3 linked regions of the Caenorhabditis elegans genome follow. The protein of the gene in region 3 interacts with the protein of the main gene of each other region in a pairwise test. Each region holds a gene or a part of one and is shown on either strand. Other genes may lie near its edges. The genes, in order: R11D1.3, R03G5.6 and cest-5.1.

Region 1 (3,358 bases), on a different chromosome or scaffold from region 3:
TTGAGAAAGATCCGAATTCACATTTGATTACTTATACGAGAGTCTTTTTTCATCGCATCATCCGTAAATTTTCTTTGATATAGCTTCATATAAGATAAATATATAACAATACAATATTGAGCATGATTGAACAACTTAAAAGACGCAACTTAAAACGTTTTAGCCACGAAAAAGCATGTGTTGTTGCCTCAACGGTGATGTGCATCAATCCTTTCTCAGTTTGGAGAGCTCACCGAGCTCAGAAGGACGGTACAAAAACGATGAAGTTAGGCAAAATTAAAAAATCATTTGATTGAAAACAATGAAGAGTCTTGCATTTTCAGCGAAATTTCATTAGAATTACTCAGCCAGTTCCATAAGGCAACTGAATTAGGGGAGCATCTTGAAATACATTTCATAGTTTGTAATAGTCTGAACCAAACTGGCGTCAAAACTTTCAATTGAGTAATGTTTCTAATGTTTCGAACAATCTGAGAAAAAAAACTGATTTTTTTATCTAACTGACTCATTTTAGTTGAATTTTTTGAAACAAAATTTTATATAGAAGAAACATGAATATATTACCTTTAGTGAAATATAATTAAAGATTTCATTCGACTGACCCATATCAGGGAAAATAATCATGATTTAACAATTTTCGAGCAATTCCATTTGCTCGTATTCATCACAGAAGGGAGCAGTTTGAGTGCACAACCCCACCATTTTGCACTAACATGCTGGTTCACAACCTTCTTACATATCCCATCACAGTATGTGAGTGTAATTGCAGCTTTTGCAACTCCATATGTTTTCTGAAGACATGTCTCCTGTTTGGCTGCAGCTGGTTGTGTATTCGTCTTTTTGCAATCGTTAAGGGTTGCCTTTATTTTCTTCACCAGTGCTGCAGTGAGTGTTTCAATTGGACCAATCAATTTTGTGACAACTGTATCAAGTGAATCAGGATTAAGACAATTGTTGGCTGAAAAGGTTACAGTTAGGATTTGAGAATTACTTCCAACATACCATTGCTGTAAAGAGAAAGTGCTTGAACAGCTTTGTTTCCTGAGTTATTTAATACACATTTTTTGCCTTCTGCGAGGACTGCTGTGCTGTTGTTTGGAGTTTTCCAAAACTGTGTCTCACAGCATTTTGCAATCTGAAAATAATTAGTTAGCTTTTGAGGAGACAAATGCGTTTTAAAGGATTACTAAAAATTTGAATAGAATTGGAAACATGTTAGTTAAGATACAAAGTATACAACTCACCACTCCAAGTTCAGTAGATGTGTAGAATGTAACTCCTAACTTTTGAGTAACCATATCCATCATTGTGTCACGATTCGTAGCTCCATGACTATATTGTACGAGTAAAACGAGAATTAAACTAGTCAACTGATTCATGGCGATACTGTATGAGAAATTCATAGATCATCATAGTTTTTATATACAGACTGTCTCCTCTTTTTTTTCGAATCATCCCACTTTTTAATTGTTTTCCATTTGTGTTACTTTGATTTTAAGCTCTAGATTACTTTTTTTCAGTGACAAACCATAGATTTTGTGTTAGTGAGAGACCAGGGACCAAAAAATATAGTCATGGAATTTGAAAAACATATTGGATGTTTAGACATTTAAGATATCAAAGTTCAAAAGAATTATGGCGAGATTAAAAAGTGTTCATCTGAGTGTGATATGTTTGGTATTATGGTAAATGAACTGTGCAGGTTAAACATATTGTTCTAGAACTTTTTATGCTCTAATGAAACAATTATGAACTTAATTGGTATAACGATTTCTTCATGTTTTTTATCAGTTATTGATTTTTGATAGCTATATAGATTAAGCAAAATTCAAGAGTAACACTGTTTAGTGACACATTTCTAGTTATAAAATTCAAAAAGAAGCACTTTTTTCTGAAAATTCTAAAAAAATTTTCAATTACTAGATGTTTCACCAGGTTTTTTTTTAATATAAGAAGCTACTTTTAACATTAAACAGTGTTTCAAAAATTTTTAAAAACGATTTTCTTATAACTTATTTTTCTACAATTCAGGAAAATTTAATCATTTGTTAGTCCTAAATAATTTTAATAATTTATATTACTTTCCAGCTATAGTATATTTTCCACATATTATTTTATTATTTGAACGGCATTTGAAATTTTTCTAAAAATTTTGGAACTATTATTATTAATATTTAATTGAAAAAGTTGGGGACCATAAGTGGAATTTGTCGTAATTTCCTTTGAGTAATAAAAATTATAACAAATTGCAAGAACAATTTCAAACAACACACTTTTATTCAATGATAATTACACGAACAGAAAAAGTACATAAACCACTAGTTTTTAACACTTTGCGAACATTCATATTTACTAAAAGTGAGAATATTTGGAAGGTATTTCTTGCCACAACTCCATTGAATTGGTGTCGCATTTTCGGTGACAATTTTAATGCAAAAGTTATCCACGTATTTGAAAGTTAACTCTGTCAATATGAGACCATATACTTTTTGTGCACAAGTCTCTAGTTTAGCATCTCCTGATGCCTTGCAATTGATTAGAGATGTTCTAAGTTTTTGGAGCAGACCAGCTAAGTTGGCCAATATTGCTGGTTGCAAGTCTTCGAGTACCGAATCGAGAGTTTCTGGGCTGAGACAATTATTTACTGAAAAAATCTAATATTTTACTCAAAATCTATAAGAAACTTACTGTTATTATAAAGTGCAATCGCCTGAAGAGCTTTGTTTCCAGAATTTTCAAAAATACATTTTTTCGCTTCTTGGTTGATTGCAGTGTTGTTGTTAGGGGTCGCATAGACTTGCTTCTCGCAACATATAGCAATCTGAATGTTCAAAACTTTTTTTAAAAGTAGTCTCAGGAACTCGTTGAATTATATTTTTCGAGCTCAAACTTCGGCTTTGTATATTTTTTTGGAACCGTTTTTAGCACAGAGCATTTCGTAAATATTTTGAAAACTAGACCGGTTTCAAGCGAACACAATTTATCTGTTGCACTCAAAATGTTCTCGAAATGCTTGCGCTGCATTTTTCAACACATTTCGGTACAAATATGGAGAGATCGCAACAGCTTACAGTGCCATAAAATGTTATTTTCTAGCTCGCTAAATGTTATAATTCTCATACAAAAATATAAATATCGAAACATGTAAGAATACTCTTTTCCCGGTAAATGTGGATATTGTTTGTTTAACTTCCATATTATTTGACATCGAACAATTAAAATAAAAACGCAGTTCTGACTTTAGTAAAAAATTTAAAATAACTTTTAAAAAACCAAAAATTCGAATTTTGAAAATTTTGGTAAATAAAACCATTTATAACTTTAGTCACAAAAGTTTGCCATAAGTTCCAATTGCCCA
Region 2 (5,844 bases), on a different chromosome or scaffold from region 3:
AGTAAATCAAGACAGTTTACGTCAGAGCTAGCAGAAAAACAACTACGAACCATGTCACTTTTGATAAACGCCAAACAACATTTTCTCCGACAAAAACTAATTTAATTTGCAAACTTAAACTCATAAAGCGGAAATTCATTCTTAAAAAAAACGCACTGAGTGTATAAAATGAAAATACGCCCAAGAAGATTATCTTCGCGGCAGGATTTTTTGCCTTTTTTTGCTGCTGCCCCTCCTCACTGACCACCGCTACCAATCTAATTACGTCGATTGCGCTGTCTATATATTCTCAATCTCATTCTTGCAATTTGCTTCATGATTACTATCCTTATTGCAACAAGTGGTGCATATTTAGTTGAGTAAGTTGAGTTATTTTTCCTCAGCGCTTATTTTGAGAACCAAATTTGAAAGAAAAGTTATGAACATAGAACTAAAAATACTGAACGACAAAATAAAAAAAAAATTTTTGATAAAGAATTTGAGAATTGAATTATTATTCAAATACAGTGTTTAAAACTCAAATCTACGATATATCTTCAAACTTTTTATGGCAATTGTGTGTAAACTATACGAATTTTAGAAGTAAATTTGAATTTCATTCATTTCTTAAATATTATCCTTTTAAATAACGCTATAGCACACTTGATCAAAAAATATAAAAACTCCACGTTTCTATTTTCACAACTGAAATAAATTTATTTTGAAATTCATGCCGATAATACAAAATTGGCCTTTTTGTTACTCAATTCAATAATACGAACCATATTCTTTGAGTGAGACAAGAATCTCTAACAATTTTAATTCAAGATTAATCTCATGACTAATAAATCATCCGAATCAATAGAAGGGCAGTTTCAAAAATCGATAATTGAGGAGAATGCGGATTAACTGAATATAGCACATATTTTCAGTGAGTTTCCTAAAAAAACTTTATATTTATAAGAATAAAACTTAAACAAAAAATTACATTAAAAAAGTCCATGCATCAAAACAAAGTCCGCAAGTAGTCGTCACGGTGTACGCACCACCCGATACACCAAACTATACGACAATAGTCCTCCTCCCGTCGCCATCTGCCCTCTACGCTCACAATTAGTAAACACGAGGGAAAAGGGTGAAAATGTCCCTCTCTCTTACACCCAACACACGCACTCTAATGCATACACACAGAGACACACACACACACTTTCCCAGCCGAACATATTTTGAATTTTCATCGCCAAGTGAATTTCGACATAAACCCAATAGAAAGCAAAAACGTTGAGAAATAGAAAGAAAACAAGAACGAAAAAAAATATATTTGAGTTTATGACCCCTTCACAGCATGTTTTCGTCAGTGAGAAATGTGTTTGTTCCGTAGTTTTTTTTTCTTCTTTTTCCTGCTATTTTTGCTATCTATCTGTGACTTCTCCCACCACAACCAACCACTCATTCTGTTTTTTTTTGCCCTCTTCTCGTTTCCTCTAGAAAAAAAAAAAAAAAGTAAAAAAGAAAAAGTAAACGGAAAATAGAGAGCATGAGGAATAGAAAAGCAAATATCGGTTTTCATTTTATTTTATTTTTTATTTCTCTTTCTTCTTCTTTTTTTCACACACACACACACACACACAAATTCAAGCGACAAAATTGAAACTTTTATGTTTATTATCTTTTTTTTCTCCGAAACATTTTTAATCTTCTCGTCACCTTTTTGCCGATTCTCCTCCTTTTTCTGACACAATATTTTTATTCGTTCAAGATGGTTTCGCTTACAGGGGCATTGGGAATGCCTCCGTTTCGAGAGCGATTGGGGACGGGATGCACAAAGGATAGCAAGGTTTGTTTTAATTTCCTCTGATTTGACTACTATTACAACCACTCCCCCCTCCCCACCGGCGGATTACTTTTCATTGCGGTTTGCTGCCAAGACCACCCGAGCTTTGTGTACTTTTCTTTAGTTGTTTCTTTCATGCTGTTTCAAAATTTTGCTTTGTTTGAAGCATTTTTTGCTCATGTTTCGAAAGTAACTTTGACTGATTCTACATTTTCAGGACTCTGGAATCGAGTTGTTACCTAAAGCAAAAAAGCAACGAAATCGAAATCGACATCGAGCTCGCATGCAAACAAGGTTTGTTTATTTACTTGAAATTTAAAAACCTCCCACTTCAAAATTTGCACCTCTCAAATTCAAATTCAAACACATGTCGCCGCCGAAAGGTATAAGCATTGGTCTACGGAAAATCGATAACGCCCTCACTCCCCCGGGTTGATATTTCGCACCTGTACGAAAGCTTTCAAAGCAAAACATGTTTTTCGGCAACATTGAAAAACGATTGAAGGAGAAAAATAATCTCTCGAAAGTGTTGATCAGACAATTTTTAGTTTTTGTCGATGTTTTCACAGAATCGGAACAAACATGACAAAAGGGGAAAGTAAAGTTAACAAAAGTTGTGTAGTAGCTGAACCCCAAATATTTGTTAAAAGTAAACCGACGGCCATTGAGATTTAATCGAAATACTTTGACAATAATCTAATATGACCAAATATATTTCAAAATTTTTCGGCAAAATCAGGTAAAATGCCAATTTTTAATATGGATTTGTTTTTAGAAATTTCAAACATTGCTGATGGACATATAATGTTCAAATACAATTGATTAAAACATATTTAGAATATAAAGCTTAAAATTTAAAAAAAAGAGATATATTTTAGATTTCATTGAATATTTTCTGAAACTCAATATTGTAAAATTTTTCATCAGAAGTTGTTCGAATAGATTCAAAAAACTTAGGAATATTTTCTTAAAACCAAACCGACATTTGCTGGTATTATGATCATTTTTCTGGATCAAAAAGTAAATTAAAAGTAAAAAACGAATTGCAAAACGTTAATTAAATAATGACCTATTGCCATTGATAAACTTGAATTTAGAACATTATATTTTATGGAACGTCTTTGCAACTAAAATTTTTACAATTTCTTGTAAAAAATTGCTCGAATTGACTTCGAGATAATTTCGAGCTCTTTCACAATTACGACCTGGCATTTACGTGTATGTTGAGTTTTTAGGAACAATTTTTCTAAACCTTAGAATTTATAGGCACAAAGTTAAATAAACATTGTTCTATTGCTATGGATAAAATTAATTCGAACATTTTTTCAGAGCTACTAAATAAATCCCATCATTAAAATTCAAAGCAAAAAAAAACAGAATGTTTAAATGCCCAAAACCTATTTTAATTAAACTCAAAAATGTTGAAAACTGATGGTTTACAAAATTTTGTGAAAAAAAGAGAAATCAATCGTGGGCTTGATGGGTCAAAAAAGCACCGTCTATGTTTTTTCCATCAATCTCTCTAATTCTCGAATCTTTTTTCATCACACAAATCCCAACATACTCCCTCTCAATTGTTACAGAAACATTTTGCAACCGAAATAAGAGAATATCATCTCATCTCATTTTTTTCTTGCAGTGCCCGCAAGAAACCAATCAGTTCGATAAAGGAACATCTTGTTGACAGTCGACGAGAAGACGCCAAACAAAATGCTGAAAATTTGGTAGGTATCATCAAAGTGATACAAATAGATCAATGAAATTCAGAGTTCATTAAATTCTTGATTCAGGTTGTTTCCGGCCTCTGGCTGATCGTACTCTATTTTACAAACCTCACCTTTGGACTGCCACTTCAGATTCTGTGGCCAGCGAGAATAAATCAGTGAGGAGTTTGTATATTAAAAAATATAGGAATATTGTTTTATGAAAAAATTTGCAAAAAAAACTGGAGTTACCATAAGGTTGTAAAAATGATGCAAAAAAATGTTTGTGAGGGAGGAACTTTGGAACATAATATGAGGGCGTAAGTGCTGAGAAATAATTGAATTCGATTGAATTCGTAACAGTGAGCGTATAAGAAAATTGGATTTTGGATATTTGGGCGAATATAAACTTTGGAGTTCATCGAAAAGAAAGTTCAAAACACAACAATGGAAATTTCAAACTAATAGTGTGTTTCATTTCATTTATCCTTAATAATTTCAGCGCTGCCGTGGCTCTCAGCTATATGCTAATTGGAGTATGGGTACTATGTGCCCTGTTTTTCTTCATCTTCCGAAAACGCAGCAGTACTATGAAATGGTACAAAACCAACCCAAAAACGTATTACTTCGCGTGGATTGTTCAACTGATGGGATTCGCGTTGTGAGTTATATGTATTTGTATTGTTTTCTGATATTCAAATCAATGAAAAAAATTGTCAAATTTTTGAAACAACTCACAATTAAAGCAAAAGTTGGGAGAATCAATATTTTTGGAAAATATGAATCCTTTTTTTGTAGTTGATAGTTTTTTAATAATTTTTAAATGGTGACTTTGCGGGTATGATCATCATTTTGAAGTTGAAAAAATATGCACTTATTTTAGAAAATAATACAATTTTTTCTATTCCTTTTCTAAAATTACAAAAGTCTTAGTTTACTAGCAAAATTGAAATTCAACTAGCTTATTTCAGCTAAGCAAATTACGTGTCTATTAAAATTGCACCCAAAATCACATTTAAAAAGCCTTTCTTGTTTTAGCATTTACAGAATGGCGTTGCAGACAACATTAATGAAACGTGTATGCAGCAGTTTTGAAACATCTTTTTTTTTAAATAACCCATTTTTTCCAGATTCTGCATTTCTACATATCCCCAAATCCACCGTTGGAGTTACTTGGTCTCCATCTTCTACTTCAGCTTTTTTGCTACCATCAGCAATACTTTCCTGTAAACCATTTGACATGACAAAACGGTCCAATCTCTTCTCAATTCACTTTGCCCTCACACTCTCACCTCACCAAAATTCATTTTCCTGTGACTTATTACTAATTGTTGCCTTAAATCCGGTTAGCTACCGAGTTCCCAAAAAACCCAAATGCTTTTTTGTTGTTTATGTAAAATTTCAGGTTTCCCACTTGTTTCACTCAGATTCTTCGTAAGACTGTGTGGATAACACATACGTGCCTGACTCACACAATTGACCACGTGTTCTTTTGAACTAGATACTCTTCTTTCAAAAAAGCTTTCTCTTAACGCCCCCTCTCACTCTGAATCATCTTAGAATTTTGATCTCTTTCCCAAAAACCTCCCCGCCCACACAATTCCTCAATTCCGTTGGTAAACCTATTTTGCCTGTCATTTTCTTTTTGTTAATGCTTATTGTTTTATATTTCATAGTATGTATGTAGCAATAAAACATGACTTCTCAGAAAGTTTCAATTTAGAATAGCTCTTGAAGAACTTCCAACAGATGTTATGGTTGTCTTGATAGGGAATTTGACAAAGGTGCTCCGCAGGTAGACTCTGAAATAAACAAAGGTTTAGATTTCAGAGCAACGTATAAACAAAGGAAACATAAACTCACATCATAATGATGATCAACATTGAGTAGTGCCATCTCATCATAATGCCGCCATACTTCAACAAATAAAACATATGAGATAAATATCTATCAAATTAACATACCCAGTAAAAAAACTTTTCCCATTGCCGAACAAGTTCTAGCCAAGGAGATACTTTGAGTAACATTTGATTCAGACCATCCGAGTAACCACAAATAATGAAGTTCCACAATGCCTGAAAGTAAATCTAGATAACACACAATATTGTAGCACACCTGAAGAAATAAACCAAATGACAATCGATTATGATGTACCGCTAGCTCATTATACGTGGAATATGTCTTTCTCAAAATCATTTTCACAGCTATTCCAGAGACTGGGGTCACAATTAATGTTAACCAGTTCATTTGAAACAACACATAGGCAAAGTTATTTTGCTGAAAAAAATGACAACGGCTTGATTTTCTGATGTGAGTTACCAAGGTTTC
Region 3 (5,756 bases):
TTCTGATGATGACAGTTAATATATAACTATTGACTGTAAACTCACCGGTTGCATTCCATACTCCATTCCATTTTTCCGCTGATTCAGGTTTTTGAAATCTCAGAGTTCCTATCGGAGGTTTCGCAAATGGAATTCTTCTGAATAATTGATATTTTCCTGACTGTTTTCCTTCTAGACGACCGAGGGATGTTTTTATTATTCGAGGATAAACGAATTGAAATGAAAAAAGTAGTAGAAATAGAGATGATGATGATATGTAATACATTTGAATAACAATTGTGCAAATTGTTTTGCTTCGCGATAATCAATACTGCCTCTCCTGATAAGCAAGAAAATATGGGGAAACAAACAAATCACAATGTACAATGTGATAACGTAGGTATGTATGCCCTAATATATTTAATAAAAACTGACTTTTTTTAAATTGTTGGTTAAAATATTATTGTCGAGACATCTAAGTTGCGTTGATTGATTAAAAAATCACGAAGTAAAGGAGAATTCGTTTGAATGTGAATCATTTATTCTCAAAAGTCATAAAATCCCTTTGTACATACACACATGTTAAAACTATTATTAGTCTGTTTTTTATCGAGTTTGTTGCAATTTATTTTATCACCCAACAGTTTTTTATATGTTGATATCGTTTTATTTTGTTTGAGGATTCACATTATTTAGAAAAAGCAATCATAAAAAAACAAATTAAAACAGTTTATTTCAGTTTATCTAAAAGTTTCCTGCGTTTTCATAATTATTTCCATCCAATCGAATATACAAATTTCGTCGTCTCAAACAACAATATCTTCCAAAAATACAACCAATAAGGAATATGGAAATGGCTATTAATGAAACACCAATTAATGTTCCTGCTTCATCATTTTGCTCCAGTGGCTTTTCTATGAATGGCACAGTTTTAAGAGATATTTGTTTTAATTTCTTCTTTGTTTCAGTCACTTTCTGATCAAATTCAATCATTTCCTTGAGCCAATAGTCAGTGACCTGAAATTAAGTGTTGATGATGAAACAGTAAAGTTTGAGTTAGAAGCAAGGGGCGCCACAGGGGTAAATCAAAAATTGGCAAAATCTGGCCGAGACTTGGTTTAGGCTGCGGCCAGTTTTATTATTATTATTTTTGGGTCAAACGTAGGCAAGAAGCTAGCACTAAATTCAAAATTTCCACGGAAAACGACACTGTAAGGGCGGATAAATGGAATGATTAAAAACACAGAAATATGTTGCAAAAATTGAAAATTTCACATAAGACTAACGGTTGTGTTTTAGAGAGGCGCCCTCATGGTGGAAAATCTCTACAAAATCACCTCCTTTTCGAAATATTTTCTCATTCGTGGCCTTTCTCCTGTCGTCTCGTTCCAATAAATATCAAAATAAGTGGACTCATTCTGTTCAGACTTTTCGAAACCCATTCCAGGTTCTCCAAGCTTTATAAAATTAATAACCATATCCTTATAAACTTGCTCCAAATGCACCTCATTTTCGTCTTTTTCAAATGCATGAACTCCCATTATATAAGAGAGATCATCGGTATGTCTACCATGTTTCGGATAAGTGTATTCGTAGAGGTATGCCTGTAATGTAATGGAAAATGAATTCTGGATAGAAAGAAAACTAACCGTGACATTATTTTCAAGTAGATTATTTATTTGAAGTTTTAGGGGAAGAATTATCCCTTGTGTTTTATCAGTATGATTTCCTCGATCTAAAACTTATTCTCATAAATAATGAAAAAAAATTAATTGAGTCGCACCGACTTTCAACACCACTTTCAACATCATTTCGATATTTTTCATCACATTCGTCTGGATTCTCAAACTCTAAATATTTTCCGAATGGAACTTTGATAGATTCATGATCAAATTCAAGGTTTGTGCAACCTGTGAGCATTGGAATGTTTTTAGGAGATTTCAATAGTTCGAATTTCTTCACATCAGGAAATAGAGGTTCTCGAAGAATAACACCACCAAAATCAGGATAACCTTTATCTTCAAGTAATCTTTGGATTCTGAAATTGAAGATTAGTTTCAAGACTTTAAAGTCCTAAACATGGAAACCCTTTTGTAATATTTCTATCTTTCAGAGAACGTTATGTTCCAATTTCGATGATTTATTTCAATCAGTCCTTACCAGCTAGAGAAACACAAAATCAAATTTGCCAAACAAAAATCGAACAACCATAAGTAAAAAGTGTAATTTCTTCAAAAAAAAAAAACGTTTTTTAAATGTCAAATTGAGAGTTCTAAATGAACCATGAAATTCCGTGGAAATTTTCACATTTTTTTCACAACATTGAGAAAAAATTCAATACTATTCATGACGCCTAATCCATATGCAATGCACTCGAAATAAATACAAAACTGATAAAAGAATAATGAAACAGTAAATTTTATTTCCATAAAGGTTCGTTATTTACAGCTGTTTTGATTTTTCTTTTTCGAATGATCAACTTTTTGAATTTCTGGCAGAATTAAAGTCCCATAACATTTTTAGCGTTTGCTGATATATAGAAATTGAAGATTAGTTTGAAGACTTTAAAGTCCTAAACAAGGAAATATTTTTGTATTACTTCTATCTTTCAGAGAACGTTATGTTCCCATCTTGATGTGGGTTTGGCAAAAAATTTTAAAACTATTTAATTACATTACCAGGTCTCAACTAAGTATACAATTCTGAAGTTTGAAAAATTTTGGACGATGTCGATTTATTAAACACCTAGAATACCTTAATAATTCCATTCCACTCAATTTCTGCAAACACTTCATCATGTACATTTCCTGTTGACTTCTTTCCATTTTTCTTTCTAATTTCAATGGAACTGAACAATTGGCATATTCAACAAATCTCTTAGTTCCTTCAATATGATCCTTCAATTCTTCAAAGTAAAAACCTCCAGACATGACAATTGCTTGTTGAAATAGACTGAAAAATTGAATAAATATTTAATAAGATTTATTTTAATTTACCTCAAATCTCGATTAATCTCTGAGCTGAATGTCATCATAGACGCAAGACCTCCACCATAAGAATGTCCGAAAAGTGTTATTTTTTGAGAATTTCCACCAAAGCTGTGAATTTCTGATTTAACAAACTCCAAGGCAAGTGTGATATCTTTAAAAAAATGAATATTCGGGGGTTTTGTTGTTACAGCTTCAGTTGCAAACCATAAAGTGCCAAATTATTTGGAGCAACATTTTGATTATGTACTGTAAAATGCGAGAAGATGCCCAATCGAAAACCAGGAATTACAAGAATCACATCTAAAAAACACACGCATTTTCTAGGTGTCAATGTTTTCGGAAAATGTGTACAGATATTTTTGAAATTTCCTATTAGTCTTTCACAACTCCCCTGCTCTGTCAAAAGTTGCTCAACTTTTGAGAAATGAACAAATATGTGAGACGAATTTTATATGCTGAAAATGTTTTGATTAAACCTTTCTTGATGCCTAAGACAAAGAAGAAATGAGCTGTCAAAGTAGAGGAACTTGGATGCAAGATTTATAGGAAAAATAGTGTAATATAATAATTAAAATTACCTTACCACGTTTCACAAATGTATCCAATAAAACTGTGTCATTAAACATAACAGCACTGTCATAAGTCAGTCCTCCGCCGTGAATGTACACTGCTATTGCACAATTTCTTGACTTCTGAAGAAATTTATTGGAATTTATTTATCAAATTAAAATGGTAACTTGCCAAACACTTTTTTGAAGTGAAAATATTAACATGTAGACAATCTTCATCAACCCATTTTTGAGGACTTTTTGTTTTAGAAGAATTCGACATACATGCTGGGCCATATTCTGAACTTTTAATTTAAAAATCGCTTTATATGGCTTTAATACGGTATAAGACCTCACCAATAGCACTTCTTATTCCATCCCATTTCCCGGCTGCCTCTGGTTTTTGAAATCTTAAATTTCCCACTGGAGGTTTTGCGAATGGAATTTTTTTGAACAAATGATAATCTCCTATCTCTGCACCTTCCAAATGACCAAATGAAGTGTGTATAATCAGAGAATCTGCTGCATTAATTATAAAAATTAACAGTAACAAGCGCAAAGTATTCATTTGAATGCTGTTGTTTTTAGTGAACAAGACAATCGATTATTTTTGAGTTCAATTGATAAGAGTCTGACTACGATAGTGAATCTTATTGACATATCACACAAACAATTGCTGGAATTTAAATTTCGTAGCTTAGTTGTCTCAATAATTCCGATATTATAACTCTATTTATATATGTCAATTTTTAAACGTACTTATCTTAAGATAAATCTTCAAAAAATTGCCAAACGAGTTATTTTCAGATTTGAACACGCGCGCTTTTTCTTCGGTCGGCCGTGGGTCGCGAATTGGAGAAAGTTCAGCCACGCGTTGTGTACTCCACTCGGACAACTGGAGTATTTATTTTTCTTCACATATTTTTTTTCTTTTTCTGCGGTTTCTTTCGAATGATTACAATAGTTTTTCATGGTTTAGTGAAAAAAAAATTGTTCGTGTTATCTTGCTTTAGTATCTGATTGCCATTACCAAAGAGCCACCGTTTTCAGGTTTTAGGCCTTCAAAAATCCGGATGTTTGTAAAATGTTTATAAAACGACTATTGTTTTTATTTTCCGCCATATCGGTGGTTTCTTGCCTTTCAAGACATCCGAAATTGTTGCTCATCTCATTTGACGGATTTCGATACGATTTATTAGATGAAGTATTGGTGAGATTTGCAGAAAATGCTGAATTAATACTTTTATTTTATTTTTCAGACACCGAATATTCACAAATGGGCGTCAATGTCTACATGGTTTACTTCAGGAGTGAAGTCGCAGTACGTAACGTATACTGCGCCGAACCATATGAGCATTGCCACAGGATTGTTCGAGGAAGAACATGGAATTGTCGGAAATTACTTTTTCGATGCAGATACCAAAAAAGCGTTAGTTTTTTTTTTGCTTGAAAATGTAAAAAGGACGTTCTTTTTTTCAGATTTGACTATTTCAATTCTACCGGAAAAGAAGGTGTCGTGAATGCATCACAAGAGAGTTTCTGGTACAATTCTGATCCCATCTGGCTTACGAACGAGCGATGGGAGTCTTCCAGAAGATCTGCGGCGTTTTACTGGCCAAATGGAGAATCACAGTTTCCATATATTCCCCATAAGCCTAAAATTGCAAGGTAATTTTAGAAAAGTTTATTTAACGAGAAGTAGTACTTGGACAATTCAGTTTTTCAGGCCATGGACAATTGTTGGTGATCTGAAATCATGGATGAAGGACGCTGACGACGTTATCGATGCTTTTATTCGAGAGAAGGAACCTGTTAATTTCCTCGCTTGGTATGTAGCAGAACCCGATCACACACTTCATGGAAACGGATTTCATAACAAGGAAATTGAGAAAACATTAAAGAAACTTGACGATCTATTTCTTTATTTTATCAAAAAATTCGATGATAATAATTTGGGAGCTGATGTGAATATTATCCTAACAGCTGATCATGGACATGCAGAAATTAAAGGTAATAATTTAAAATAGTTGAAATTAAAATCTTCATAATTCCTAAAACTAAATTCAGATCACAAACATGTCATGTGCGTGAAAGATTATGTATCTGGCGCTGGATTCGAAATGGGTGATCATATGATTTATCCACACTCGGATGAAATTGGAAAACAAATTTATGCAAATTTAACATCAGCAGTGAAAGAGCATGGATATGATGTGAATATTCATTGGAGAGAGGAAGT

The links.
Region 1: the proteins of cest-5.1 (region 3) and R11D1.3 interact in a two-hybrid assay, tested with the Caenorhabditis elegans proteins (one large-scale study listed by BioGRID).
Region 2: the proteins of cest-5.1 (region 3) and R03G5.6 interact in a two-hybrid assay, tested with the Caenorhabditis elegans proteins (one large-scale study listed by BioGRID).

What each region holds. Positions count from the first base shown.
Region 1 is NC_003283.11:12,710,717-12,714,074, forward strand, and holds R11D1.3 (DUF19 domain-containing protein), read right to left. Parts: upstream 1,384-3,358; 5' UTR 1,380-1,383; coding exon 1,245-1,379; intron 1,136-1,244; coding exon 1,003-1,135; intron 959-1,002; coding exon 621-958; 3' UTR 577-620; downstream 1-576. Other genes in the region: R11D1.4 (DUF19 domain-containing protein), read right to left, coding at 2,319-2,644, 2,689-2,821.
Region 2 is NC_003284.9:7,805,007-7,810,850, reverse strand, and holds R03G5.6 (2TM domain-containing protein), read left to right. Parts: upstream 1-1,736; 5' UTR 1,737-1,765; coding exon 1,766-1,816; intron 1,817-2,030; coding exon 2,031-2,107; intron 2,108-3,452; coding exon 3,453-3,537; intron 3,538-3,603; coding exon 3,604-3,695; intron 3,696-4,018; coding exon 4,019-4,177; intron 4,178-4,646; coding exon 4,647-4,746; 3' UTR 4,747-5,222; downstream 5,223-5,844.
Region 3 is NC_003282.8:6,627,655-6,633,410, forward strand, and holds cest-5.1 (Carboxylesterase type B domain-containing protein), read right to left. Parts: upstream 4,101-5,756; 5' UTR 4,086-4,100; coding exon 3,875-4,085; intron 3,818-3,874; coding exon 3,711-3,817; intron 3,662-3,710; coding exon 3,553-3,661; intron 3,270-3,552; coding exon 3,174-3,269; intron 3,121-3,173; coding exon 2,976-3,120; intron 2,932-2,975; coding exon 2,734-2,931; intron 2,348-2,733; exon of another isoform or gene 2,326-2,347; intron 2,200-2,325; exon of another isoform or gene 2,140-2,199; intron 2,018-2,139; coding exon 1,767-2,017; exon of another isoform or gene 1,763-1,766; intron 1,715-1,762; coding exon 1,629-1,714; intron 1,584-1,628; coding exon 1,317-1,583; intron 997-1,316; coding exon 724-996; 3' UTR 631-723; downstream 1-630. Other genes in the region: cest-5.2 (Carboxylesterase type B domain-containing protein), read right to left, coding at 1-2, 46-265; C01B10.9 (Bis(5'-adenosyl)-triphosphatase), read left to right, coding at 4,602-4,727, 4,777-4,946, 4,997-5,185, 5,244-5,527, 5,585-5,756.